Macaca mulatta: one gene and its partners. The protein of the gene in region 7 binds, or shares a complex with, the protein of the main gene of each other region. Links are inferred from orthologs where the notes say so. Each region holds a gene or a part of one and is shown on either strand. Other genes may lie near its edges.

The links.
Region 1: SMARCA4 (region 7) and SMARCE1 share a complex: the UniProt entries of both Homo sapiens proteins name them as parts of the BAF complex. The link is inferred for Macaca mulatta from reciprocal best matches to the Homo sapiens genes SMARCA4 and SMARCE1.
Region 2: SMARCA4 (region 7) and SMARCC1 share a complex: the UniProt entries of both Homo sapiens proteins name them as parts of the BAF complex. The link is inferred for Macaca mulatta from reciprocal best matches to the Homo sapiens genes SMARCA4 and SMARCC1.
Region 3: SMARCA4 (region 7) and PHF10 share a complex: the UniProt entries of both Homo sapiens proteins name them as parts of the neural progenitors-specific chromatin remodeling complex. The link is inferred for Macaca mulatta from reciprocal best matches to the Homo sapiens genes SMARCA4 and PHF10.
Region 4: SMARCA4 (region 7) and ARID1A share a complex: the UniProt entries of both Homo sapiens proteins name them as parts of the neuron-specific chromatin remodeling complex. The link is inferred for Macaca mulatta from reciprocal best matches to the Homo sapiens genes SMARCA4 and ARID1A.
Region 5: SMARCA4 (region 7) and PBRM1 share a complex: the UniProt entries of both Homo sapiens proteins name them as parts of the SWI/SNF-B (PBAF) chromatin remodeling complex. The link is inferred for Macaca mulatta from reciprocal best matches to the Homo sapiens genes SMARCA4 and PBRM1.
Region 6: SMARCA4 (region 7) and SMARCC2 share a complex: the UniProt entries of both Homo sapiens proteins name them as parts of the BAF complex. The link is inferred for Macaca mulatta from reciprocal best matches to the Homo sapiens genes SMARCA4 and SMARCC2.

The regions. Positions count from the first base shown.
Region 1 is NC_133421.1:65,026,263-65,030,558, forward strand, and holds the start of SMARCE1 (SWI/SNF-related matrix-associated actin-dependent regulator of chromatin subfamily E member 1), read right to left. Parts: upstream 2,801-4,296; 5' UTR 2,718-2,800; intron 767-2,717; 5' UTR 722-766; coding exon 715-721; intron 539-714; coding exon 495-538; intron 1-494. UniProt on the Homo sapiens protein: Involved in transcriptional activation and repression of select genes by chromatin remodeling (alteration of DNA-nucleosome topology).
Region 2 is NC_133407.1:111,146,820-111,151,005, reverse strand, and holds the start of SMARCC1 (SWI/SNF complex subunit SMARCC1), read left to right. Parts: upstream 1-1,386; 5' UTR 1,387-1,493; coding exon 1,494-1,688; exon of another isoform or gene 1,689-2,828; intron 2,829-4,186. UniProt on the Homo sapiens protein: Involved in transcriptional activation and repression of select genes by chromatin remodeling (alteration of DNA-nucleosome topology).
Region 3 is NC_133409.1:2,316,796-2,320,295, reverse strand, and holds part of PHF10 (PHD finger protein 10), read right to left. Parts: intron 1,758-3,500; coding exon 1,604-1,757; intron 1-1,603. UniProt on the Homo sapiens protein: Involved in transcription activity regulation by chromatin remodeling. Belongs to the neural progenitors-specific chromatin remodeling complex (npBAF complex) and is required for the proliferation of neural progenitors.
Region 4 is NC_133406.1:214,216,593-214,220,092, forward strand, and holds part of ARID1A (AT-rich interactive domain-containing protein 1A), read right to left. Parts: intron 3,025-3,500; coding exon 2,879-3,024; intron 2,789-2,878; coding exon 2,679-2,788; intron 1,456-2,678; coding exon 1,246-1,455; intron 1-1,245. UniProt on the Homo sapiens protein: Involved in transcriptional activation and repression of select genes by chromatin remodeling (alteration of DNA-nucleosome topology).
Region 5 is NC_133407.1:116,140,845-116,144,344, forward strand, and holds part of PBRM1 (protein polybromo-1), read right to left. Parts: intron 1,269-3,500; coding exon 1,083-1,268; intron 1-1,082. UniProt on the Homo sapiens protein: Involved in transcriptional activation and repression of select genes by chromatin remodeling (alteration of DNA-nucleosome topology). Required for the stability of the SWI/SNF chromatin remodeling complex SWI/SNF-B (PBAF).
Region 6 is NC_133416.1:63,321,811-63,325,310, forward strand, and holds part of SMARCC2 (SWI/SNF complex subunit SMARCC2), read right to left. Parts: intron 3,449-3,500; coding exon 3,386-3,448; intron 2,704-3,385; coding exon 2,445-2,703; intron 2,199-2,444; coding exon 2,037-2,198; intron 989-2,036; coding exon 924-988; intron 692-923; coding exon 556-691; intron 474-555; coding exon 307-473; intron 1-306. UniProt on the Homo sapiens protein: Involved in transcriptional activation and repression of select genes by chromatin remodeling (alteration of DNA-nucleosome topology).
Region 7 is NC_133424.1:11,698,517-11,702,504, reverse strand, and holds the start of SMARCA4 (SWI/SNF-related matrix-associated actin-dependent regulator of chromatin subfamily A member 4), read right to left. Parts: upstream 2,801-3,988; 5' UTR 2,652-2,800; intron 2,517-2,651; exon of another isoform or gene 2,094-2,516; intron 1,850-2,093; exon of another isoform or gene 1,155-1,849; intron 551-1,154; exon of another isoform or gene 400-550; intron 1-399. UniProt on the Homo sapiens protein: ATPase involved in transcriptional activation and repression of select genes by chromatin remodeling (alteration of DNA-nucleosome topology).

The DNA of each region.
Region 1 (4,296 bases), on a different chromosome or scaffold from region 7:
TCTTTACTTGAACAGCTTGAAAATACTTACAATGAGTATAGTTTCAGAAGCTTTATTGTTTAATATGAAAATTTTATAGAGAGACAAGAAAGGAGAGAAAAACATAACCAGTTGAAGGTTAGGTTTAACAAAAAAGCCAGAATGAGCATTCATTCAGTAACAACTTAAAGACTCTTAATAGTGAAGATTAATAAGAAAGAAATGGTAAAACTTTCACTTATTTCCCATTTACAAAGAAAAAAACAAAACAAACTGAGCATAGGAGGTTGGAGTTTTACAGTATTGTTTCTTTAAATGTTGGGGTTGGTTCAAGGAAAGATGCAAATAATTATTTTATTTAGTAGGAAATGCTTTTTTTTTTTTTTTTTTTTTTTCTTTTAAGCTGAATTTCATCCTGTTGCTGTGATGATTGAGTGACTGTCACTGGAAGACATCTGGGTTTTTGTATCAAGGCCAGACTTGGCTATTACATTAACAAGAAAATTAAAACTTACTGTTGCAGGAGCTGGGGTGGGAGGTGGGGCATAAGATGGTCTTTCTGTTTGAAAGAAAATAAATAACTTCTTGTAAACAACTGAGATATAATACTATGCAACAAAACTACCAATGGTCCTGTTTTGAAGAAAAAAAAATGAGAGTATTTTGGAATTCCCACTTGCTAGGGCATTAGTCTCTTATTAACATAGATCGATAAATATAAAAATTGAAACTTACTTGACATTTTGGAAGATTAAGTTCTCAGTTCCTTAAGAATGAATCTGAGACACTAAAATAAAAAAAAAAGGAAAAAAAAAGAGAATCAAAACTCAGCAAGCATACGAGAATGTTTTCCTAATGAATAGGGTAATTTAATTGGTATTTCTGAGTAAAACTACTTCACCTTAATTCCTAGTAATTAAGCCTTTTGCATATTTTAACTAGTTCTTATAGGAGATTTGGTTGATTAGAATTAAATGACTAAAATAAAGTACTGGGGATATTTAGAAATGTACTTTCAGGTTTTTTCTTGGGATACTAAGCTACCTCTTGTATGGAAAACATTTTGCTGACGCCATGTAAACATTTCATCGGACTGATACAAGCATGAGAATACAAAGTGATGTATTAGAGTCCAACCCAACAAGGCCTACCAGATACTGACAGCTCCTTGATCAGCAACTGTACCATGTTTTTGGGATAACAATTTTTATTAAAATTGGGCAGCATTTTATTCCTGGAAGCAGTGCAAAAGGTAATTGGTATGACAATGAACTTCGCATTCTCTTAAGAGTGGTAAATAGCTTCATAAATGCTGGGAATAAATTTTGAGAGTCTACCTGAAAAATTCTTATTCACCCTTCACGGCCCATTTCAAAATTTTTCTCCTCAATGGAACTTTCTTGATACATTACCTGGGCAGAATTAATTGCTCCCCCATCTGTATTCCTATACAGTTTACACAGATCTATGATATTATTATAACTTTTTTTAACTTGTCAATATGGCTAGATTGTATGCTACTTGGAAACAGGGACCATGGCAGGACCCAGCTCAATTCTTAGGAAATTTTTTCCTAGTATTACCAGCTCACAACATAATCAGGCACATGTGAGCTTGTTCTTTACATCAACATACATCACAAATAGTGAGGTACAAAAAGACAAAAATTCATCTTTAGAAAGAAGGCAAATAAACTTCTATGACTATTGGAGGTATTTGCATCTAAAGTTATGTGGAATAGATCCGATTTTTCACTTCTATTACTCATTTTAAGGAAATTCCCTGGAGCGTAAGGAATGAGTCCTGGTGTGGAAAGAAACAGTTCATTTTCTCAATGGTCCAACCTGAGTCTTTCCCTCTTAAAGAACAGTCAGAAACCTTTGACTCTGGTGTAGATTTCCTTTCTGCTCACATTAAGGGAGCTGTCAACATCCAGCAGGCCTCGCTGCAGGGCACCCTGACAACTGCCATAAGCTAAGCTCCCTGTACGTTATACTTCATTGTTAATACTTTAAAATTATGGTTCTCCTTTGCTAGAACATAAAATTTAAGAGTGGGCTTGTACATTTGTCCACCGTTGGATCCATCCTTGGTGCCTGGCATAAAAATAAATACCCGATAAATATTTGTTCAAGAAATACTTTATACGGGGTAGGCTTATGACCCTATTTCGCTTAACAGTCACAAGTACTTGATATGTACAGCTATCCCCATTTTACAGATGAAACAAGGGAGTCTCGGAGAGTCTAAACAACTTGTCTGAAGCCATATGCAGCCAGGAAGTGCCAGAGTTGGGTTTCAAACCCAGGCCAAACTATTTCAGAGCGCTGCTCGTCTCCATAAGCCACATCTTGAGTCCTCAGGTCGCTGCCTGAACCAATGGGGGAACCTTATTCCTGGGGGTGAGAACCACGGACTTGCCTCGCCCGCGGGCTTCCTGAGGTCACTCTCATTGTCTTGGAGAACGTACTTTACTAGCAACTCCCCTAAAACGGGGTATGCACAGGTGCTTTGACCAATTTCGGGTGACCGGCCTTGCCTCCAAGGAGGGGGCCCCAGATGGGACTCCCTTCCAACCCTTGCTCTGCTAGGCCTCAAGGAGGCCGCAACCGGCTCCCGGCTGTGGCCCCACGGCCAAGCCTGAACCCCAGCAACCCCCGGGAACTCGGAGTTCAGCCAAGCGGGGACACCACGACTTGCCCCCACCGACCCGGTCCGGCCCACTTGGAAACACTCACCCGCGGGCAGAAAAAGCGCCCGCAGCTCCGGCTTCGCTTCCCTTTGTCCCGCGCACGCCCCGCCCCTCGCGTCCGGAGCTTCCGCACTCGCACTTTCCACACTCTTCTTAATTTTTTTTTTTTCCGGGCCCCACCCGACCCTCTTTGGAAAAAATAAACCTTCTAGTGAGGATGCGGTGATGCTTAGCACACTCCGGGATTTTTTTCAGGCCCCATTGGTTCCTCAAAACTCTCCGAATTTGGATACTTTCCTAGCCGGGCGCCGATTCGTCACGGCGAAGAGGGCCGAAGAGAACCGACCGCGGGATAGGCCTGGGTTTAGCGGCTGTGAGGAGCTGGAGCGGCCGCAGCGACCGAGGAGGTGGCGGGAGGCGCCGGGCCTTGCGGAGGGGCGGTGGGGGCTGCAGTGGGAGACGGCGGGAGGCACTCAGCGCGAGGCCGCGGAACCACTGTGGCCGCGCGCAGCTCGGCCAGACTCCGGCTGAGCCCGCCCCTGGAGGGGCCCTCCCCGACCCGGGTCTTTCCTTTCGGCTGTGGGCCAGAGTCTACACTTCACTATGCCGGGGATGGAGGCGTGGAGGACTCGCTTCGCGGCGTTTGCGTCCTCGCAGACGCCTCGCAGGACTTCCTGCCCTCACGGCACGGTAGTAGCTTTGGCGAAAAGCAGTACGAGTTTTGCAGTTTTTCCAAGCGCTTTTAGGGTGTAATCGTCCCAGGTTTCTGAGCCAAGGCCCGGAGAGGTTGACCCTCTTGCAACAGCTTGTGTGTCCTTGCAGCGCCGCGGGTGCCACCTGGTCTCCGCCCCAAAGCTGCCTTGGCTCCTTCGGTTCCCGCCAGCGGGAACGACCGACCCCACTTTCAGCTTAAACTCATCTGTCCTTCCGGATCCAGCTCAGAGGTCTCTTTGTGATGCCCTCCAGGAACTTCCCCCGCTAGTAATCCTTCCTTTGTATTCCCGTGGCTCTTTGATAATAATGACTGGAGTCCTGAACCTGACCCTTTGTATCGGACCGTGTTTGTCATCTCTAGTGCTTTATGAAGGCCTTGAAAGCAAGGTTCAGCCGTTTGTATTGGTCATCTTCCCCTTGCCAGTGCCTACGAAGGACTTGACTCATTCACTGTTAGACGCTCAGTAAATGTGTATTGAGGCAGCCCCCTGTGCTACTCCGGGACTCTTTCCACTACATCATGAGTATGTTGGTTTACCAGATGGAGTGAGTAGCCTTCTCTTTGGATACATAAACACCTGACGGATATTGTGGGCCACTGTGGAGGAGAATGAACAGATGGGACCCCTGACCTGTCGTTACTTGAAAACAGTTGACATTTAGAGAGAGAGGCTGAATTCTTGGGCTGCCCTTAGCCCTCATCCTGAGTGTGCCAACAGGGAATAGAAGCATCTCTAGTCTGCAAAGCCAGGAACAAGTGCTGCTCTGTCCAATTTATCCAATATTGTTATACTCATGAATAGAGATTAATGAATTGAAGAGCATATTCAAGAGAAAGACTAAAGGAGAGGTCGTCTGCCCTGTGGACAGGCAGCTTGAGTGGTGCTTGAGAAAATGTACATGAAATTGCT
Region 2 (4,186 bases), on a different chromosome or scaffold from region 7:
CTGACCTTGTGATCAGCCCACCTTGGCCTCCCAAAGTGTTGGGATTACAGGCGTGAGCCATCTCGCCTGGCCCTCCTGATCACATTCTATTCATTTTTTTATTTAATATATTTTACTGTCCGTGACACAGCCCTCAGGAGATCCTGAAAACGTACATACCCTCATTTTTAAAAGGTCTCAAAACCTTATCAGCAGTTAGTCACTTTCTCATAAGCAATTAGTTACTTGCTTCTCTGAGATCATATAGCATTATGTTCACAACTCCATTATGGCCAGTCGTACTTTTTGAAACAGGGTTTTGCTCTGTCGCCCAGGATGGTGTCGTGAGTGGCGCGATTATAGCTCACTGCAGCAGCCTGCATCTCCCCAGCTCAAGCGATCCTCCCACCTCAGCCCTCCAAGAGGCTAGGAGCACAGGCTTGCAACACAATGCCCGGCTGCTTTTTGTACTTTTTTGGAGAGACGGGGACGGGCGTGGCGGTCTAGAGCTCCTGAGGTCAGTCGATCGTTCCGCCTCAGCCTCCCAAAGTGCTCCACGCCCGGCCAATCATACCTTGATAATTTAAAAATTTTCGGCTTCTATATGGGCCATTCATTAATTCATCAAGTATTCACTGTACATGTATTCATTGTCTCAGGTGTTCAGGATACACCTGTGAACAAGTTAAGATTAGGTTCTCATGTAATTTATGTGGAAGGTAAATGAGAAACTAAAAACACCGGGTCATGGTAAGCGCTACGCAGAAAGTGTATGGGTGTGAACAGTTCAAGATTGTAAGATATGACAACGGCTTTCTGAAGTCCTTTGAACCAGTGAATCTGAACGCGTCTCATAAGTGAAAATCAGAAGGGAAGACCCGCTGAGGTCTCCGAAACAGCCGATGCAAGGGCCCGTGGGGGCAGGAATGAGCCGCTGTGGCTGGACCCCTGAGGGAGTGGAAGGTCTGTGAAGCCGAAAAGCCTTGGCGTGGGCGTCCCAGATGGCTCTTCCCAAATGCCGCCGGGCCGCTGGGGGTGGAGGGTCTAAGGGAAAGCCGGGCCCGGCGCACTCGATACCCTAGGCAGGCTTTCCCCTCGGCACTTCTCGCACCAGACCTTTTCCCTTCAGCGGAGGCAGGCTATGACACAGAATCAACCTGCGGTTGTTAACCGCATAACGATTCGACGTCGGTAGCGAGGGAAGAGCATGGCTCAATAACCGGCACTCACTAGGGGAGAACGGAGCCTACAGAGGCTGGCGGAAGAGGCGGCTGGACGTGCTAGTCCAAGGCGCGCCCGCACGAGTGCTGCGCATGCGTATGCGCGGGCTCGCGTCGGATACGGCGCCAGTCCCGAGAGGGGGCGGGGCCGGGCGTCCGCACCGGAAGGGGGTTGGCTGGGCGGGGCCGGGAAGCGGCAGTGGCGGCTACGCGCGCGCGGGCGCGCGCGGGAACGAACGGGAAACACCGCGAGGGCTGGGGTGGGCCAGGCTGTGGGGACGACGGGCTGCGACGATGGCCGCAGCGGCGGGCGGCGGCGGGCCTGGGGCAGCGGTAGGCGCCACGGGCTCGGGGGCCGCGGCGGTAGCCGCAGGCCTAGCCGTTTATCGGCGGAAGGATGGGGGTCCGGCCACCAAGTTTTGGGAGAGCCCGGAGACGGTGTCCCAGCTGGATTCGGTGCGGGTCTGGCTGGGCAAGCACTACAAGAAGGTGGGTTCGCGCGCCCATGGGGGCCGGGAGACCACGCGACTGGGGCCGGAGGCGGCATCTGGCCTCGCGGGCCTCGGGCCTCCCCTCCCCCCCGCACGCCACGAGGGACAACAAAGGCAGGCGCAGGGCCCGCCACGCCCCCGCCGTCCGCTCTGGGCGCCCGCGCGCCGGTGGCCTGACGGGTCAGGCGCTTGTTCTTGTGAGCCCACGCACCCCTGGCGAAAGCCCCTGCTCAGTCTCGTGTGCCAGAGCAGGTCGAGCTCAGCCACTAGGCGAGTGTGACTCTCTTTTGTCAGCTGCCTTAGGTGTATGAACAATGATCCCTAAAGACCGAGCAAGCGTGGTAAAAGCAGCTTCAAGTTTTGTTTAGAGAGTATTCAAAGTCTCGAGGGGGTTTGCTACCTGTTGTTGATTTGCTAAACGACTGGGATGATTGTATTCGTTAATTACTAACAGGTAATGTGAATTCTAGGATGGATGAGAGCTATTAACGACGGTTTCTACCTCATTGTGCTTCTGGTTCTGTGTGGCGTGAGAGTTAATGTTCACTTGTACGTAAAGTGTTCTTCAGGGAGGCCTTCCGAGAACCCAGTTTTTATTAGAGCACTTTTCTTATGTCACCTTTATTTTCTTCGTAGTGTTTACCACATTTTGAAATTAGTCATTTACTTATTTATCCTACCTTTGGAATGGAAGTTCCGCCGAGTCAGTAGTTTTCAAAGTTTTGACTTAATCCCTTGTTTATAACATTTTTTTTTTCTCCAACTTCCCCTTTGTGTAAATATTCCGGAGAACTCCCTTAAAGGGTGTAATGAAGCAGGTAGTCAAAAAGGCTCCCCAGCCTCTGAAGTTTTCCTATCACCCTCTTTAATTCTGTACTTTCTCCTATTGAGGATCATAGCACTGAAGAAAGGGCTTTGTTCACTACAGTGTATCCGGGAACGTGGCTGATACTTAGTGCCTTACCCTTAGTAGCTGCTTAGTAAATATTTGTTTAATGAATGAAAAGATAAACTAGGAACCTATTTATTTGGCCTTTACAGCTCAGTGAAGCCTGTCAGTGTTTGGCAGTTATTAGGCATGGGCAGGGATCTTGGGTTCCTTTGGCATTACACGTGGTACATTCGGAAATGACCATTTCTGGCCGGGCGCGGTTTGGGAGGCCGAGGCGGGTGGATCACCTGAAGTGAGGAGTTCGAGACCAGCCTGACCAACATGGTGAAGCCCCGTCTTTCCAAAAAATACAAAATTAGTCGGGTGTGGCAGCACACGCCTGTAATCCCAGCTACTCGGGAGGCTGGGGCAGGAGAATAGCTTGAACCTAGGAGGCAGAGGCTGCAGTGAGCCGAGACCGCACCATTACACTCCAGCCTGGGTAATAGAGTAAGACTCTGTCTCAAAAAACAAAAACAAACAAGCAAAAAACAAACCCCAGAAATGACCATTTCTTTCTTTCTTTTTTATTTTTGAAGTTCAGCTGGGAAAAATTACATTTCTTGTCTGAAGTTTGAGGAAGTGAGAGACAGTAATTATATTTTTAGGTGCTTGGACCCCCCCCCCAAAATTACATTTAGACTCTAGATGTTTAGTAATATTGCCCTTTCTTACACAGTGATAAATTGGTCACTTTTTATTTTATTTTATTTTATTTTTGAGACGGAGTCTCGGTCTGTCGCCCAGGCTGGAGTGCAGTGGTGCGATCTCCGCTAACTGCAAGCTCCACCGCCTCCCGGGTTCACGCCATTCTCCTGCCTCAGCCTCCCTAGAAGCTGGGATTACAGGCACCCACCACCACGCCTGGCTAATTTTTTTGTATTTTTAGTAGAGACGAAGTTTCACCGTGTTCGCCAGGATGGTCTCGATCTCCTGACCTCGTGATCCGCCCGCCTCGGCCTCCCAAAGTGCTGGGATTACAGGCGTGAGCCACCGCGCTTTTTAAACGTAGGTAATAGAGCTTCCAGGAGTGGCTAGTGGGATTGAATATGTTATGAAAATATTGGTTAATTCTTTCTTATTACATTCCTTTTAGCCAATGCTTTGGGTCTTAAATTCAGTGAAGCTTTAACAAAGAAAAATAATCTAGAGATGTTCCTTTGAATATCAAGGAAGAGAGTAGAAAAAGGCAAATTTCAGTAATTTCTACCTCTCCACACTGTTCAGTGTGCATCAGTTTGGGACCAACTACAAGAAGCTTTAGGTGTGGATAATCATCTTCAGTATTTGTTTGGGTGGGTAGGGAAGTGGCTACAAAGCAGTTTGAAGAATTGCCCAGTAGTATTGAGACCACTAGGCTAATGTTGATTCACTATCCCTGAGACTTTATAGACAAAGTTGTCTTTGACTTCTCAGGACTTTGTAAAGCCAGAGTGTATTTCTGTGGTCTACTGAGATTGAGAATCATATATGCCCTAGGCCTGACAGCCAGAATCTTTTCAGTCTCTGGGTGTTAGTGTCGAAGTGGTGAAAATATTATCAGAAGGTTCTTTGCTTCTTTTCTA
Region 3 (3,500 bases), on a different chromosome or scaffold from region 7:
GTGCTGCAGTTAAAAAAAAAAAAAAAAAAAAATTCCTTCGAGTACACATTTGTGTTTTCATAATGTTAAACCATGCAGAGCCAATCCCTCAACTATCTACAACAGGATGTGAAAGATTGCATATATTCAAGGTTTAAGACCTCAATATCTAATGATTTAATTCTTCATTTTATAATTTTAAATTTTCTAATTAGAACTTTCATATAAATTATGAAAATTATAAATGAAAAAATTAGATTATCTAGAGCCTCCCTGATAAACACACACTGACTAGAAACATTAATATATCCACTTCATCTTTTTTCTGGGTGTCCACTTATATACATAAAGATACCGAGACTCACACATACCCCCTAACCTCATTGTGCCCTCATTTTTTAAAACACAAAACTGGATTACACTGCGTGTGTATGCATGTGTGTGTTTTGGTATTTTTTTAAAAGCATTATGTGCATGTTCTCACAATCATTAAATATTCTTTGAACTGCATTTCTATCCTATAAATGTAATATAATATTACCCACTGTGGGCATTAAAATTTATTTGTAACTTCCAGGATAAAAAATACTGTAAACACTCAAACAGACCTTTTTATTCTAATTAAATTTTTTTCAGCATCTGATTAAATCCTTAGGATAAATTCTACTAGTGGATTTGCGAGGTCAAATTCTGTGGAACTTAAATTGGTAAGACTGTCAAAACGCTTTCCCATAATGTTGGATTAGTTTCCACTTTTCCTAGCAGTATGAAAGGAAGTCAGCTTCATCCCCCTTTGCATGCCATAGCTCCCCTTTTAGCAACATAACAGGAGAAAAGTTGTATCACCACTTTAATACTTGAACAGCATCTTATTTTGCATAATATGTATTATTAAAGATGTTTTAGAAGCTGCTGGGGACAAGGAAATAATGTCCATTCAATGGTAGCACAACCTCACATTTAGATTGGCTTCAATGAAAAGTCTGAAATAGCCAGTTACTTAAAACACAATGCTAAAGAAATTCAAAGCCCTATGTCATCACTGTGATCAAAGCCCTAAACCATCAAGGGGATTCTGTTCTCCTTCAGATCCACAGAATTCACCAGCTGCCCATTGTTTTGCAAGCGCATTTTGCTACAAAAAAAGAGTCATACAGGAAAACCCAACAAATTGCACAACATATTACTAAACACAATATTTTCCTATAGGAAGCCTAAGATTAAGCAAAAGAAACCTAAGTTAATGCACTCCCCTAAACTAAGAAAACTACATTTCTGTGTCAAGAGATCAAATTCTGTTTTGTTCAATATTTTAAGCTAAAGAGACAACAAGTTGAATAAATGACTGTAAGCTAATTTTCCAATATCCTTGCCTAAATCGCTCATGGTAACTACAAAGGGGCGATTTTAAGTATAAATCTTACCAAAGGCCACACACGGCTTGTTTTTTATCAAAACATACTATAAATAACTTTTCTTGATGAATACCTTCTGGAAATTACATGCAACCATCCTTTTTCAAAGAGAGGGTGATGACAGAAGTTCAATGTAACATTCCAGGAAAGCAATTAGCAAAAATTCAAAGAGAAAGGAAACGCTTCCCACTAGAGAGAAATGTTCTCACCGAAGTGCCTTTATTTTTCCGTTTCTCGTCACCTCGACCATCTTCGCCATCATCTGAATCACCGTCACTGTCTAGAGCAGGGAGCTCAGGATCCAGAGGGGGCTCATATAGGGCTGTGTTTAATGGCAGATACCGCAGCTCATCTGGTGAGTACCTGAAGTTCAGAGCGTTTATTTTTGGTTTCCCTTTATTATTAAATATAAATAGACTCATCGTTGACCTATGAAGAGAGCCTTAAACTTCTTGAGTAACTCCAAAGACTTCCGAAAAATAGAGTATTAATTTTTAATTTTTGTCATCAAGTAGGGTTAATAAAAAGCCTGAACATCTTTTCACTAGACTTATGTAAAATATGCATTTGATTCTAAGAGATAATGCGCCTCTCCTCTTTGCCCTCAACCCAAAAAAACAAAACAGTAAATAAAATGTCAGTAGCCCCAAGTCTGACTGCCAGCTCACATCCACGTCCACCACTGTTCCAGGTCTTTGCTACTTCTCTGTGCTATCACTCCACTTGTAAAACAGGCCTAATAATAGCATCTACCTCATACACCAGTGCATGGTACATGATATTACTTAATATTAATATAGAAAGCAAAATTTTTAGTAACAAATTATTGTAAACAAATTTGGGAAGCATGTATTCTAAAAAATCTAATCAACTATTTTTTCTGAAACTAGATTGGCAATCTCTTCCCCTAGGTCAGACAGCAATGCTTTGTGCCACCTCCATTCTCACCCTCAGTAGTCCTCATTCAGGAAGCGACCCTGGATCAGGACTTCTCCAACTAAGACAACACACCAAAAAGCAAAGGAGTTGGTATACTTGCATATGACTTTTAATAATTTGCTGACACCAGAGTAAAATTTTTAAAAATTTAAGGCCGAGTGCAGTGGCTCACGCCTGTAATCCCAGCACTGCGGGAGGTCAAGGTGGGCAGATCACCAGAGGTCAGGAGTTCGAGACCAGCTGGCCAACAGAGTGAAAATCTGTCTCTACTAAAAATACAAAAAATTAGCCGGGCGAGGTGGTAAGCACCTGTAATCCCAGCTACTTGGGCGGTTGAAGCAGGAGAATCACTTGAACCCGGGAGGTGGAGGTTGCAGTGAGCCGAGATCGTGCCACTGAACTCCAGCCTGGGTGACAGCATGAGACTCCATCTCAAAAAAAAAAAAAAAATTGAAGAAAAACTTTTAAAAAAACTGCTGCCCATGATTTAAATTTGAATTAAAAAACCTTTTTAATTTAAAAAATTTCTGCCCAAGATGTGACTTTCAAATGGTGTGAGTTATGATACTATACTTTAAATTCTATTCTCTAAAAAAATAGTCTATTATGAAAAACATACGGTTCCAGAGTAAGGCTTAAGGTTGAAGTAAAAGCTGAGACTTTAAAACAAAATGGGCTGGGTGCAGTGGCTCAGGCCTTTAATCCCAGTACTTTGGGAGGCCGAGGTAGGCGGATCACAAAGTCAAGAGATCGAGACCATCCTGGCCAACATGGTGAAACTCCACCTCTACCAAAAATACAAATAATTAGCTGGGCGTGGTGGCATGTGCCTGTAGTCCGAGCTATTCGGGGGGCTGAGGCAGGAGAATCGCTTGAACACAAGAGGCAGAGGTTGCAGTGAGCCAAGATCGCGCTACTGCACTCCAGCCTGGCAACAGAGTGAGACTCTGTCTCAAAAAAAAAAAATCTGTTAGCCCTGTTTTTTTTCAGTTACATTCAGTTTGGGAATAGGAGATAAGTAGCATTTAGGGGCCAGATTGGAGCAGCAGCCAGGCCAGGTCAGCAATGTGGCTGAGGCACCTAGGTGCCCGTGCCTGCCCCTCTGCTCCTTCTCTCATCTTCTCTGCAGTAAAAGTCAGTGTTTCTCAAACTCTAACCTGCACGTGA
Region 4 (3,500 bases), on a different chromosome or scaffold from region 7:
GTGAACCCTGAAGCTCACCCAATCAGAAGCGAGCGAAACCTAACCCAAAGCTCCCCTTCCCTATAGGCAGGGAAGACTTGACTATGAGATCTGAGTATCAGGGAGAATGGCAGGAATATACATGGAGTCACCTCAAAAGCCTTCCATGGCTTTGCTTCTCATGCCAGTTATGTGGCAGTATGCACGTGTCTTGTTTTGTTTTGTTTTCCTTTGTGGGGGAGGGGAATAAAGCCTGAAGGGAGAAGGAATTCGTAACTGACTGTTGGCTGGCTTCATTCCAATCACTTTCTTTTCTGCTGGTGACAGCTGTTTTCCTCTTCTGATTTAGAAGGTCTGGAATAAGTCCCTCCCTGCCACGCCTCCCCGAGCTCAGCCACAAACTGATCCAACAGCAGGCTTCTGGTCTGGTGACTACAGAACACACACAGGAGGAAAGTCTGCAAGGCACAGTCTGCTGTCTGCCTGTGCTGCCTCACCTGTTTGCCTCCTAGGCTAAGTCTACAAAATTGTAAGGTATCAGAGTAGGCGCAAGCTCTGGGTGGTGTCCAATTCAGGTTATCATTTAAGTTTCCCATACAGAAAAACTAAACACATCATTTCCTACTACTTCTTCCTTTATAATAAGCTATTTCTACTAAACAGTTCCTGAAATCCTGTCTCTACTGGGAAGATTCCAGGAATGGGAAGATCTACTTATACTCTGGCTGCCTCTGTACCATCTTGCAGGCCGATTTATGTGGCAGAAACCTTGCTGAAAGTCAAGGTTTTTCTAACTTTTGATAGTCTAGTGAGTTATATACTGTTACATAGTGTTTGTATTTTACAAATAAGAAAATTAAGGTTCAGAGTGGTTACACACCTTAAGGTCATATATGTTGTAAGTGGGTAAGAAGGGACTCAAAACCAGGTCCATCTCTCCAAATCCTGTCTTTGCTACTATGCCAAATTGCCTCCCATGGAATCAGAATGCCCACAGACCTTCCCTAGCTTTGCATCTCAGTGGGACCCTAGATACACGGTAAACTTACTGCTAATACCTCATACTACCAGGGAGGTCTCTGCTTCCTGCCTTATCTTCTGGGAAACCTGTGCTCCCTGGTCTATCAATATTATCAATATTCGACTCAGAGAGCAGGAGAGGATGATGTCCCTGTGGGATGCATGGTACCACGTGAAGCCAGTGAGTACCTAAGAAAGGGGTTTGTGGAAACCACAGGGGCAGTCAAGTGTCAGGCACCCACTCACCTGAGTCAATCCACCAATCTCCTTCACAGACACATAGAGGCGATAGAGGTCCAGAGGTTTCCTACCCACAGCAGGCAGATTTGTCATGCCCATGGCCTTCTCCTCAGTGAAGGCCAGATAACGGTCCACCCACATCTTCCTCTCAGGCTCACCACCCAGCTCATACAACTTGGTGATCTTCTCATTGGTTGTAGTAGAAGAACTGGATTTCTGGAAGGTTCAGGTCAAAATTCATAGGAATGGGTCAGATTCAAAGCCTATGCTAAGGGTCTCAGAAGTCTCTTGACTGGAGCAGTGTTAAAGCTTCTTACTCTGGGGTGGTCACTAACACCTGCCCTGCCTTCACAAGGTTGAAGGGCCAAAAAAGAACCAATTTTTATTTTTCCTATAAAGGAAGGAAGCTAACACTGAATATATGTTATGTACTGGGTGGGATGCTAGATGCCTTTATATATTAGATATTATAAAATTATCCCCATTTTTAAAGATAAGGAAGCAGGCACCAGGAGGCAAAGCGTAAGATCTCACAGCTTTTAAGTGGCAGGCTGAGGATCAAATCCTTGTCCATCTGACATCAAAGCCACTACTACTCCCACACTACTACCCAGGAGCCTGAACATACTTAGGTACTATGTTTTAGGTAAATCGAAAAACTCACAACATGATCTTGAGGCAATGGGATGGACTAAAATGAAAAGAAACTCTTTGCCTCTTCTAAAGAAAGGAAGGGTTTCCCACCTGGTTGAAGGGCTTTGGATATCATCCTGTCCAAGACAGAAGGATGGTCAAAAGGGCTGGGAGCTAGAGGTGAAAACTCATAGGAGGTAACAGCTATGATTTTTATTTTCCCTACGTATATAGATAGGGAAAGTGAGGTATGGCCAAGGACAGAAATATTTCAAATGACCCAAATGCTGAGTAGGACCCATTACTTCTGCACAGCCTAACAGCACACCCAGGACCAACCTAAGGGAAGCCAAGGAATCAAGTCTCATGTGCCTTATCTCCTTCTTTACAGTACACAGGGTACCATTCCTGCTGCCACGAGTAAGGTTCAGGAAGAGAAGAGCAACTAGTTGCCCATGGCACACCCCATCTATCAATGCTTGAGTACAGGAGGCACGGTTTCACAGAGGGCACCAGCCAAACAGTACAAACAGTTTGATGCTGCAGGGTCTGGCATTTCCCCCATAACAAACAGCTGTGAGAATATTATGTTATTTACCAGGATCCCTTAGACCAACCCAGACCCAACTCACTGAGCTATTATTCTGAGACCCTTCATGATAAGAGGAGGCAACAGCAGCTTTTTCAGAGACTATCTAGTCCGGTGTCATAAAAGGCTGGGATCTTGTCTCTCTCTTTTCTTTTTCCTTCCTACCACTGAAAAAGATAGGACACAAAATTGAAAGAGTCAAGACAAAAATTGCTACCTTGGATTTGGATTCTGTCTTGGGTGTCCCGTCTGCCTTGTTGTTCATTTTGGTGGCTGGAGTTAACTTGACATCCCCAAGGCCCATCATCTCTGGGCTGGCTGCCATCCCTGTAAAAGAGAAAAAAATTCTCAAGACCAGTAAGTTTAGCTGTGATGTGACTCCTGAAGAAATCCCTAGTGAGAATGACTAGCACTTACCTGCAGAATTGTTGGCCATGGTTCCACCCATGGAATATGGGGGTCCCTGAGGGTTGATCATGCCAGCCATACTATTAATCCCTTGTCCATAAGGAGGTCCAGTTCCCATCATGCCCCCTTGATTCATATTGGGGTAGCCTGGCGGCCTAAGGAAGAAGATGGAAAGTGAGAGAGACAAGGTTAGACTCTGGGCTTTTAGATTTGAACTTGAGCCAAATAATGCTGTGTGATCATCTAGTTAGGATTAAAAGGAAAACACTGATGGGTCCCCAAAACTAGAACTATGCAACATCCGGATATTATTTTTCTTTATTTTCTTGAGATACGGTATTGCTCTGGCACCCTGGCTGGAGTGCAGTGGTGTGATCATAGCTTTTTGCAGCCTTAAACTCCTGAGCTCAAACGATCTGCCTTCCTCAGCCTCCTGAGTGCCTAAGACTATGAGGCATGCACCACCATGTCCAGCTAACACCCAGATTCTCTTATCTTCTACATCCCACAAAAGATACTAAGAGAGTTCAAGTTCTGGATAGCGAACAATAGTTTATTTAATTTTTTTTTTTTTGAGATAGAGTCTCGCTCTGTTGCCCAGGCTGGAGTGCAGTGGCGTGATCTCGGCTCG
Region 5 (3,500 bases), on a different chromosome or scaffold from region 7:
AGCCTCCTGAGTAGCTGGGACTACAAGTATAAGTCACTGTGTCCAGCTCAGAAATCACACATTCTTTGCAAAATTAGGAAATATACCATCAATCCATTCTGCCATGATCTGAACCTAGCACTGTGCTTATTTTTACAGCTACAGTTTAATATAATTATCCATAGGAGAAATAATACTCTAAAATAATAAAGTGTAATGAGGCCTAAAAAATGCATGCTACTATTTCCCCCTCATATATATATACACCCTCAACCTCTTGGGCTCAAGTGATCATCCTGCCTCAGCCTCTCAAGTTGCCTGGACCACAGCAAGTGCGACCATGCCCTGCTAATTTTCTTATTTTTTCTAGAGAAGCGGTCTTGCCATGTTACCCAGGCTCTTCTTCATATTAAAAGCCATATAAAATATATAATGAGGAGGACAGGTGATGAGACCTGCTCCACTGTGCTCTGGTTAGTACATACCTAGAGTTGTGCACTTTAGTAAGGGTAGACATATACTACTGAAGGACATATTTACCTCTCTGGTGAAGGAATACAAAAGTATTTCATGTGATAAACAGCTCAAAGAACTGGACTGCCTGGATCACATTTCCACCAACTTTTGGTTTCATTAACTTCTATGCATACTCTATGTCTCAATTTAAAGGCAACTGTTCTAGAAAGCCTTTTTGAAAACAAATGCCAAGCCAAGGCATGTCATTCTATAATAATTTCTTTTTTGATCATAATCTTCCTTACTGGAGTAGTTTTGCAAGGGAAAAACATGAACTTTTTGTTCTTTTGAATCTCTGTCACTCCACAGAAAGGTTGGCTCAAAGTATGTTTTTAATAAGTATCAACTGAACGAATGAATTTCAACCAGACTTTAAGAAGCTGTATTTCTTTTGACTCAACTATGACACTGCCCAATAGGTCCTATGTTTTTCATATGATGGGTGCTTACTTACATTTATTGATATATTGAACAATTATTATGGAAAGGCATAAGATATTTGAGTTAAAATTTTCTTCCCTGAAGAGCAAGGAGAAGTCAAATAGTCATATCTCACTAAACTGTTCTTTGATTTAAAACAAACTTACCAGCTGAATCCTCCCACAGTCTTTCAATACAGACTATATGTGGTTGTAGGTTGGCCTCTGCAGGTTCCACATAGACATAATCTCCAACATGGTACATGCTGTTTTTAAAGCTACAATCCTGGCTGTATGTGCGATGTAAGCCTGAAAGGCCTGCAGCACCAGAGGAATCTTCACTCTTTTCAGCTTCTTAGGTAAAAAAATAAATAAATAAAGGAAAAAAGTACTCACCAAAGGGATGCTGGAGTCAGATGTAGGATTCAAACAACACATACTAATAATACATTCAATACATTTAATTCCATTTGCAACGTGCGAAGGCAGGAATCAGCAACAGTATGATCTTTACATTCCTAATAGCCTCTACTCAAAACTGTATTTTTGAATTACAACCATCATTAATTTAAATGAATATGTAACTACACAAAGGATGTATAGAATAAAAACATCATCTTACTAATAAATGATCACATGGTCATTTCGGATAATATTGAAAGGCACAAAGAAGTACATACGTCGTTTCAAATCAGGTATTTCTAGAGATAATCTCTGATATACTTCACTTCCACCTTAAGGCTTCTCAATGTGTTTCATTTCACTAACAAGTTATTACACAAATATGACACATTTAATGCAGTCATAGAATTGAAGAAATATGGAATATGTATATTCTACAAAAAACTATATATATATGTATATATATTTAATATATCATGAACACTTGCCCTGACAGGAAATGCTTTTTTCAAAATGACTTTTATTTTTATTTATTTTTTTTGAGATGGAGTTTCGCTCTTGTTGCCCAGGCTGGAGTGCAGTGGCACAATCTCAGCTCACCGCAACCTCCGCCTTCCAGGTTCAAGCGAGTCTCCTGCCTCAGCCTCCCGAGTAGCTGGGATTACAGGCATGCACCACCATGCCCGGCTAATTTTGTATTTTTAGTAGAGATGGGTTTCTCCATGTTGGTCAGGCTGGTCTCGATCTCCCAACCTCAGATCTGCCCGCCTCAGCCTCCCAAAACTGTGCGATTACAGGTGTGAGCCACTGTGCCCAGCCGACTTTTATTTTTGTTAAGTAAAACTTATTAGTTCCAGTACACGCCGGGAGCAGTAGCTCATGCCAGTAATCACAGCACTTTGGGAGCCGAGGCAGGCAGATCACTTGAGGTCAAGAGTTCAAGGCCAGCCTGGCCAACATGGTGAAACCTCGTCTCTACTAAAAATATAAAAAAATTAGCCAGCATGGTGGCGGGTGCCTGTAGTCCCAGCTACTTGGGAGGTTGAGACAGAAGAATCGCTTAAACCTGGGAGGTGAATGTTGTAGTGAACCAAGACCGCACCACTGCACTCCAGACTGGGTGACACAGCAAGACTCTGTCTCAAAAAAAGAAAAAAAAAAAAGTTCCAGTACAAGCTATCATTTGCAAATATCATAAGGTTTTTATTGAGGATAAGGCTTTGCCCAAATTTTTGATTACTTCCTTAGGTTAATTTTCCATAAACGGAAGAGCTAATAATCAGCATTTTAAATGTTATTTATTTTATTCTTCTGGAAACATTTTTTTTTTTTTTCTTTTTTTAGATGGAGTCTCACTCTGTCACCCAGTCTTGAACTCCTGACCTCAAGTGATCCGGCTGCCTTGGCCTCCTAAAGTGCTGGGATTACAGGCGTGAGTCACTGTGCCTATCTAAATTTTAAAATAGTTTTTCTAGTTCTGTGAAGAATGTCATCGGTGATTTGATAGGATTAGCATTGAATCTGTAAATTGCTTTGGGCAGTATGGCCATTTTAATAACATTGATTCTTCCTATCCATGAGCATGGAATGTTTTTTCATTTGCTTCTGTCATCTCTGATTTCTTTGGGCAGTGAGTAATTCTCATTGTAGGGATCTTTTACCTCCCTGGTTAGCTGTATCTCTAGGTATTTTATTCTTTTTGTGGCAGTTGTGAATGAGAATGTGTTCCTGATCTGGCTCGTGGCTTGGCTGCTATTGGTATAAGAATGATAGTGATTTTTGTACACTGATTGTGTATCCTGATACTTTGCTGAAGTTTATCAGCTGAAGGAGCTTTTGGGCTGAGACTATGGGTTTATTAGATATAGAATTATGTCATCTGCAAACAGATGTAGTTTGACTTCCCCTCTTCCTACTTGAATGCCCTTTATTTCTCTCTCTTACCTGACTGCCCTGGCCAGGACTTCTAATACTATGTTGAATAGGAGTGGTGGGAGACAGCATTCTTCTCTTGTATCGGTTTTCAAAGGGAATGTTTCCAGCTTTTGGTCATTTCAGTATGTTGGGTGGCTTTGTAATAGATGGCTCTTATTATTTAGAGGTATGTTCCTTTAATACCTAGTTTATCTAGAGTTTTTAACATGCCAAAAGCCTTTTCTACATCTATTGAAATAATGTAGTTGT
Region 6 (3,500 bases), on a different chromosome or scaffold from region 7:
GAGGTGGAGGCTGCAGTGAGCGAGATCTGATAGAGCAAGACTCTGTCTCAATAAAAACATGGAGATACTGTGGCAAAGGGTAACACGGAGTCAAATACCGACAGGGTTGAAAACAGGCCCAATGGTGACATATTTTTTTAAAGCTTAGAGAAGGGATGACTAACTTTACCTCCTCCAGAGATTAAAAATTAAAAATAAATAGGTCAGCATTATTTAAGGTGTGAGTGAGGAAGGATTTCCTCTAAGTAACATGAGATTAGAGAAGTGGGCATTTTCTTCCCTGAGGTCTTCAAGGTCTGGCCTCACCTTGGCTTTCACTGCGGCAGCAGCCAGGGCGGCAGCAGCGGCGGTGGAGAGGTTGCCCTCGCCAATGTCCCGCTCCACCTTTGTCTTCCTTTCCCCCTCAGACTCCACCACTTCCTTCAGCACTTCCTCCTGCCCTTCCTTTGGCTCCTTCTCCTTCTCCGGATCGACTGGGCCAGGACAAGGGTTAAGTTAGCCCCACAGTTTCACCTCTCTTCCCTGCACCCCCACCTACCCTTGTGGGAGGCTCACCTATCGGGTCTCCATCACTCTTCTCAGACTCCTTCTCACTGTCACCTTCTTTCCCTTTCTCCTCATCCTTCTTGGGAGCCTCGCTGGTTTTCTCCTTTGCTTCCTCCTCTATGGCACCCCCTCCTTCTCGGGGTTCCTGAAATTCCAGTGATAGAAAAGGAGAGTTATCAGGGATTGGGGTGATTAGTTCTCACACAGAGGAGCCAGACAGGGAACTAAATTTATTCCTCTTACTTCGGAGGTGATTTCATTCTAGGAGACAACCCCGTCCAAAACCAGCCCTTGCCCACCTAAGCTGAACAAGGCCAATTCCCCCATCACCACAGTGCTGCACACAGCCCCTGCAGCTCCCAGCAATCCCTCCGTACCTTGGGCTCCTTCTTCTCATCTGTGGCCTGGCCTTCCACCCGAGCCTCGTCATTCCCGCTCTCCTCTGGGCCCATGGGAAAAGGAAAACAGGAAATGTCTAATACACAGTCGTCTGTGTCTAACACTCTTCTTTTTTTTAGAGACAGGTTCTTGCTGTGTTGCCCAGGTTGGTCTCAAACTCCTGGGCCCACGCAATCCTCCCACCTCAGCCTCCTGACCAGCTTGGACTACAGTGTGAGCCTCTGCACCCAGCTTCTCCATAACACCTGTCTTTTTTCTTTTGAGACAGGGTCTCACTCTGTCGCCCAGGCTGGAGTGCAGTAGCACAATCATGGTTCACTGCAGCCTTGACTTCCTGGGCTCAAGTAGTTCTCTCACCTCAGCCTCCTGTGTACCTGAGGCTACAGGCACATGCCACCACGCCTGGCTAATTTTTTTGGTATTTTTTTGTAGAGACGGGATTTAGCCACGTTGCCCAGACTGGTTTCAAACTCCTGGGCTCAAATGATCTGCCCACCTCAGCCTCCCAAAGTACTGGGATTACAGGCATGAGCCACTGCGCCCAGCCTTCACAAGACTTTTTCCTTTTTGAGACGAAGTCTTGCTTTGTTGCCCAGACTGGAGTGCAGTGGCCTTGATCTTGGCTCACTGCAACCTCTGGCACCCAGGTTTAAGCTATTGTCCTGCCTCAGCCTCCGAAATAGCTGGGATTACAGGTGCGCGCCACCATGCCCAGCTAATTTTTGTATCTTTAGTACAGACGGGGTTTCAGCATCTTAGCCAGGCTGGTCTTGAACTCCTGACCTCATGATCCACCCGCCTCAGCCTCTCAAAGTGCTGGGATTATAGGCGTGAGCCATCGCGCCCAGCCTTCACAAGACTTTTCTAATAGCCCCTTCTACAGGCCAAGATTTTTCTACCCAAAATCTTCATGAGAGGGCCAGTAGAGGTCCAGAGCCCCTGAGGTAAGCTCATGGGGAAAATAAAAACCCTACCGATTTTCTCATTCATGTTGTGCTCTGATGCCAACTTGAGGCAGAAATGGCACAGGGAGGCCAGGTGGCTCCGGCTCTTGTGAAAGGCAAGAAATGTGGGAACCTGCCTGGCCTTACCAATCCGCTCAGGCTCATCAGAGGTGGTTCCTGCAATGCCACTGCTTTCCAGACCGAAGGCAGGGTCCGCCTTGCCTGTTACTTTGGCTGCTTCTTCCACTTTCCGAACATGGGCCTCCACCAAGGCCGTGGGTACCTCTTCCTTCATTTTGGAGAACTCCTCTGTAAGACCCAGAAAGGATGAGGCTGGGAGTGGCGCAGGGGGACAGTTCTGGCAATCCCTGCAAAAGCTTACTCACAAGCCCATGTCTTTATCTAAGCCAGTATGGAGCCTAGACAGATGCCCGAGCTGAGGCCTGCACAGACAAGGACAGCAGGGCAGCCAAACTTGAGAGGATTCACAGTCTGAGTAACTAGCCCTTCAAAAGCAAACTAAGAAGGCCAGGTGGAACCGCCCACCCCCATTACCTAGGGCTGACTTTGCAGCAGCAGAGGCGACTCGGGGATCGACGACAGAGGCCAAGAAGGCAACAGTGCTCATAACAGGGTTGCCCGACTGACTGAAGGGGATGGGTTGGTAGGCCAGGGGGCCTAGGGAGGCCTCTGAGTCCTCCAGGTATGGGTCTTCAATGGGAAGACGAAGAAAATGCAAGATGCACTCGTCCTGTGTGCGGCTTCCCACATGCTCGGACACTTTGTTCCAGTCATCTTTGTACATTTCCAGTGCCTGGTGGTAGTGGTGGAGACATAACTCCGCTTACTTAGCCACTTTTCTCGAAGGCCGACTCCCCCCATCCTACTAAGGGCAGCTGGTTTCAAAGCTCTCTATGTTCTGGTATTTGTGTACTCTGCTAGGTCCAAGAGGGATCTTGAAGTAGCACTAAGAAAGGATATGAAGTTAATGAAATGGCCCAAATCCCCAGCCTGGAGCTGGTCCCTGGGGCAGGTGCAACAGGCATTGGGAACGGGAGAGACAGGGCAAGATCATGCTCTGCTCATGCCAAACTCCACGATCTCTCCTCACTCACAAGTGTGGCCAGCAACTTCAACATGTCTGTTTTCTTTTTTTGTTTGTTTGTTTTTTGAAACAGGGTCTTGTCTCACTCTGTCACCCATGCTGGAGTGCAGTGGTATGATCACAGCTCACTGGAGCCTTGACCTCCTGGGCAAGCCTCCCACTTAGCCTCCTGAGTAGCTGGGACCACAGGTGTGTGCCACCACACCTGGCTAATTTTTTAAATTTTTCATAAAGGCAGAGTCTCACTATGTTGTCCAGGCTCGTCTCGAACTCCTGGGCTCAAGCGATCCTCCTGCCTTGGCCTCTCAAAGTGCTGGGATTACAGGTGTGAGCCTCTACACGGAGCCCACTTCTGTTTCCAGAGAAAAACTCTTTTCTTTGCCCCAATTACCTCCAGGAGAAGCAGGGTTTCCTGTTCTGTCCACTCACGAGTGGCACTGGCTGCAGCTTTGCTCTGCAGGGGAAACACAGGCAGGTCAGAAGAGAGGAGCCTGTGACCTCTGAGG
Region 7 (3,988 bases):
GACAGAACAAGACTCCATCTCAAAAAAAAAAAAAATCGAGTGTTCACTATGCATCAGGTGCTGCAGTGTGTTAGCGGCTTCCCATGTGACCTCATTCAACCCTCACAAGAAGCCTGTGAAGTTTCAGGCATCCTCGTCCTACCTGTTTCACAAGTGGGGGCCCTACTGCTAAGCGCCTCGTTTGAGGTTAAGCTAGGATTTCAAGAGCTGGGTGTGAATTCAGGAGGTCTGATTCCAGAATGGGTACTCCTTACCACCGCCCCACGCTAACCACCACCCCACACTTTGTAGGGGAGAGGAAGACAACTGAGGTTCGGGAAACAATGGCTTGGAAAGTTCAAAAACTGTTAAAATAACTAACCTGTATCCCTTACAACCCATGCCCAGTTCTGCACCAAGCTTTTTTTTCTCCTTTTTCTCTTTCTTTTTTTTTTTTTTTTTTTGAGACATTCTTACTCTAGTACCCAGGCTGGAATGCAGGGGCGCAAGAATGGTTCACTGCAGCCTCCACGTCTCTGGTTCAAGCAATCCTCCCACCTCAGCCTCCTGAGTAGCTAGGACCACTGGCACATGCCACCACACCCAGCTAATTTTTATATATTTTGTAGAGATGAGGTCTCACTATGTTGCCCAAGTTAGTCTCAAATTCCTGGGCTCAAGCAATTCCCCCACCTCAGCCTTCCAAATTGCTGGGATGTCAGGTGTGAGCCACTGCACCCCACCCTGCACCAAGCCTTTTACACAGATGGTCACGTGATCTTCCACAGGACCCCACCCCCCTCATTCAATCCACAGAATTTCTCTAAAGACCTACTATGTGTCAGGCCCAGAGTACTCTGGGGTCAGCCAGGCAGACACAACCCCAGCTCTCACGGTGCTGGGGGTGACAGCTACACCGGAAAGGACCAAGGTGATGCGTGAGTATAGCTGAGGGGAACAATGGCTAGTCCCAGGTGGCCAGGGAAAGTCAAAATACACTTCTGGCGCGGTGGCTCACACATGTAGTCCTAGCACTTTGGGAGGCCGAGGTGGGTGGATCACCTGAGGTCAGGAGTTTGAGACCAGCCTGGCCAACATGGTGAAACACCATATTTACTAAAAATACAAAAATTAGCCAGGCGTGGTGGCGGGCACCTGTAGTCCCAGCTACTCAGGAGGCTAAGGCAGGAGAATCGCTTGAACCCAGGAGGCAGAGGTTACAGTGAGCGGAGATCGGGACACTGAACTTCAGCCTGGGCGACAGGCAAGACTCTGTCTCAAAAACAAAATACAATCCTACATATATCCTCCCTGATTTTGAGGGCCCCTCTTTCAGGCAGCCCCCGTGATCTCTGGCTACCACCGATCCCCTGCCTGTCCGCTGTGTCCCTCTCACAGCGCAGGTCAAGAGCATTAAATGACAGGCCAAGAGTGTTTGTTCCCACGTTGACCACCCGATCCCCTCCAAGACTGCAGAGGTTCCAGGATCCAACCCCCCGACCATCCAACACTTAGTAGGACCTCAAGAAGTTATTTGCTGAACAATGAGGGAGACTGAACCAGACAGTAACAACGTGCTTCCCACTTGCCAGGAACCATTTTACAGGCTTTTACCAACTGCATTTGGGAGATTACCCCCTTTCACAAAGGAGCTTTCACAAAGGAGGAAAACTAAGAGGTTCAGAGAGGTTAAGCACTTCCCTAAAGTGACAGTGTGCTAAGTGACTGACAGCACCAGGAATCAAGCTTAATGCACCCTATCAATCCAAACTGAAAACTTGTTTCAAATTCCTGCGAAGTGGCTTTTCCGCTTACTCCCTTTCTACTTTCCCCAAGGAGACATTGACCAAAAAAAAAAAAAAAACAAAAATCAAGACTGGTGTCTTCAAGATCCGGACAAAACACTCGCCTAAAAGGTCCACGTTGAAAATAAAAGCCTTAATCTGAAAAACCAATTGGGAAGGAGGAAAAAGGATGCAAAAGAAAAGCAATGCTTTTACACAGCAAAGGATTTCCACCGTGCTCCCTTACTTGCCGCCGACCCCATCCCCAACCCCAATTCCGGGCAAACATTTTGAAGTCACTAACTGAAAGTCATTGGGGGAGTCCTTTACCTTTCCTTGAAAATCTGGAATGACGCGTTTTTAAGACAATTTGAAGTCGGCTAGCCCAAGGGGGCCGCTAATGCCCGTGTCCGGCCGACGCCGGACATATCTGGAGGTTTGGCTACTGAGCCCAGATCGTAGCTTCGCCAAAAAGGCAACATTCGGGTCGGACCCCTTAACACGCAGCCAGAAAAGCCCCAACGCCTGCCTATTGTTGGAGCCGCTGCAATTGGGAGGGCTACTGTAGGGGTGCCGGGCGAGGGGGGCGAGCTTTGTCCGGCGACCCCGGCGAGAGCGCGCGCAGAGAGGATCGCGCGGCCTCCACGCGGCCCGGGCCCCCCACCCACCCCGCCGCTCCGCGGGGACCGCCGCTGCCGCGGCCTCGCGACGCTGTGGCCTTCCCCACGAGCGCGGCTGCCGGCGGCGCTTCTTGACCCTCGGGCGCCGCCGTACCCCGGTCCCGCACAGGGCGCGCCGGCGGCCCCCTCCCCCCTCGGCGCCCCGGCTCCATTCAAACCGCCCTCCCTGGCCCCGCGCCGCGCTGCCCCCGCGGCCCGCGTTCCTTACCGGGAGCCGCCGGCGCCGTCGCCTTCCCGGCGCCGCCCCCGCCCCTCCGCGCGGGGCCGGGGGCAGAGTGGGCGTCTCGCTTCTCCTCACGAAACAAAGAAGCCGCCGCAGCCGCCAAGCGAGGGGAAGCCTCGCGCGCGCGCCCGACTGCCTCGGCCACCGCCCCCCCTTCACACACACGCGCGCCGCCCGCGCCCCCGCTACGCGCGCGCTCGCCGGCTCCCCTCCCCCTCAGCACCGCGGCGGCCTCTCCAGCTTCCGCCGCCTGCCCAGCCTTGTGCGCGCGCCAGCCCGCCCTTCCTCTCCCCCCGCGCGTGCGCGCCCGCTCCTGAGCTGACAGAGGTGGGCGTGGTCCGGAGGAAGCACGCGCGTCCCGTGCACCGCCCCACTCGGGCTGCGAGGCCTCGCGCCTGCGCACGGGCAGCTTCGCCCTCCGCACGCCGCGCGTCCTGACGCACGGGAGCATGCGCAGAGCGGGCGCCACTGCGGCGGCGACGGCGACGGCGGTGGCGGTGGCGGCGGGGCAATTGGGGGATGGGATCCCGGTGGCCGTGGGATCCATGGGGAAAGGAGGTTCCTGAGGCTCGGAAATAGGAACCCTGGACCGTAGGACCGGCCGCCTGGGCCAAGACCGGGCAGTGGTTTTCCGCGGACCAAGGGCGCGCTTGGGAACCGCTTTGATCCCTGATCTGGGGCGGCAAGGCCTGTTTGGGGAGCTAGGCGGGGCCCGACCGTGGCCGCCTTCTCTGCAAAACCTCCCGAGTGCCGTTAATTAGCTTAGCAAATATTTATTGATCTGCTACTGTATCTCAGCCACCGTGGAGCCCACGGTCTAGTGGGGGAGGAGGACAAGAAGCAAGATTAATAAGCAAAAGAGCGCAGTGTGAGAGGCTGAACTTGGTGGCTCACGCCTGTAATCCAGCACTTTGGGAGACCGAGGCGGGCGGATCACCTGAGGTCAGGAGTTAGAGACCAGCCTGACCAACACGGTGAACCCCGTCTCTACTAAAAATACAAAAATTAGCCGGGCGCGGTAGGCCACGCCTGTAATCCCAGCACTTAGGGAGGCCTAGGCTGGTGGATCATGAGGTCAGGAGATCGAGACCATCCTGGCTAACATGGTGAAACCCGGTCTCTAGTAAAAATACAAAAAATTAGCCGGGCATGTTGGCAGGCGCCTGTAGTCCTAAACTACTCAGGAGGCTGAGGCAGGAGAATGACGTGAACCCGGGAGGCGGAGCTAGCAGTGAGCCGAGATTATAACATCGCATTCTAGCCTGGGCAACAGAGCAAGACTCCGTCTCAAAAAACAAAAAAAGAGGCCAGGCACGGTGACT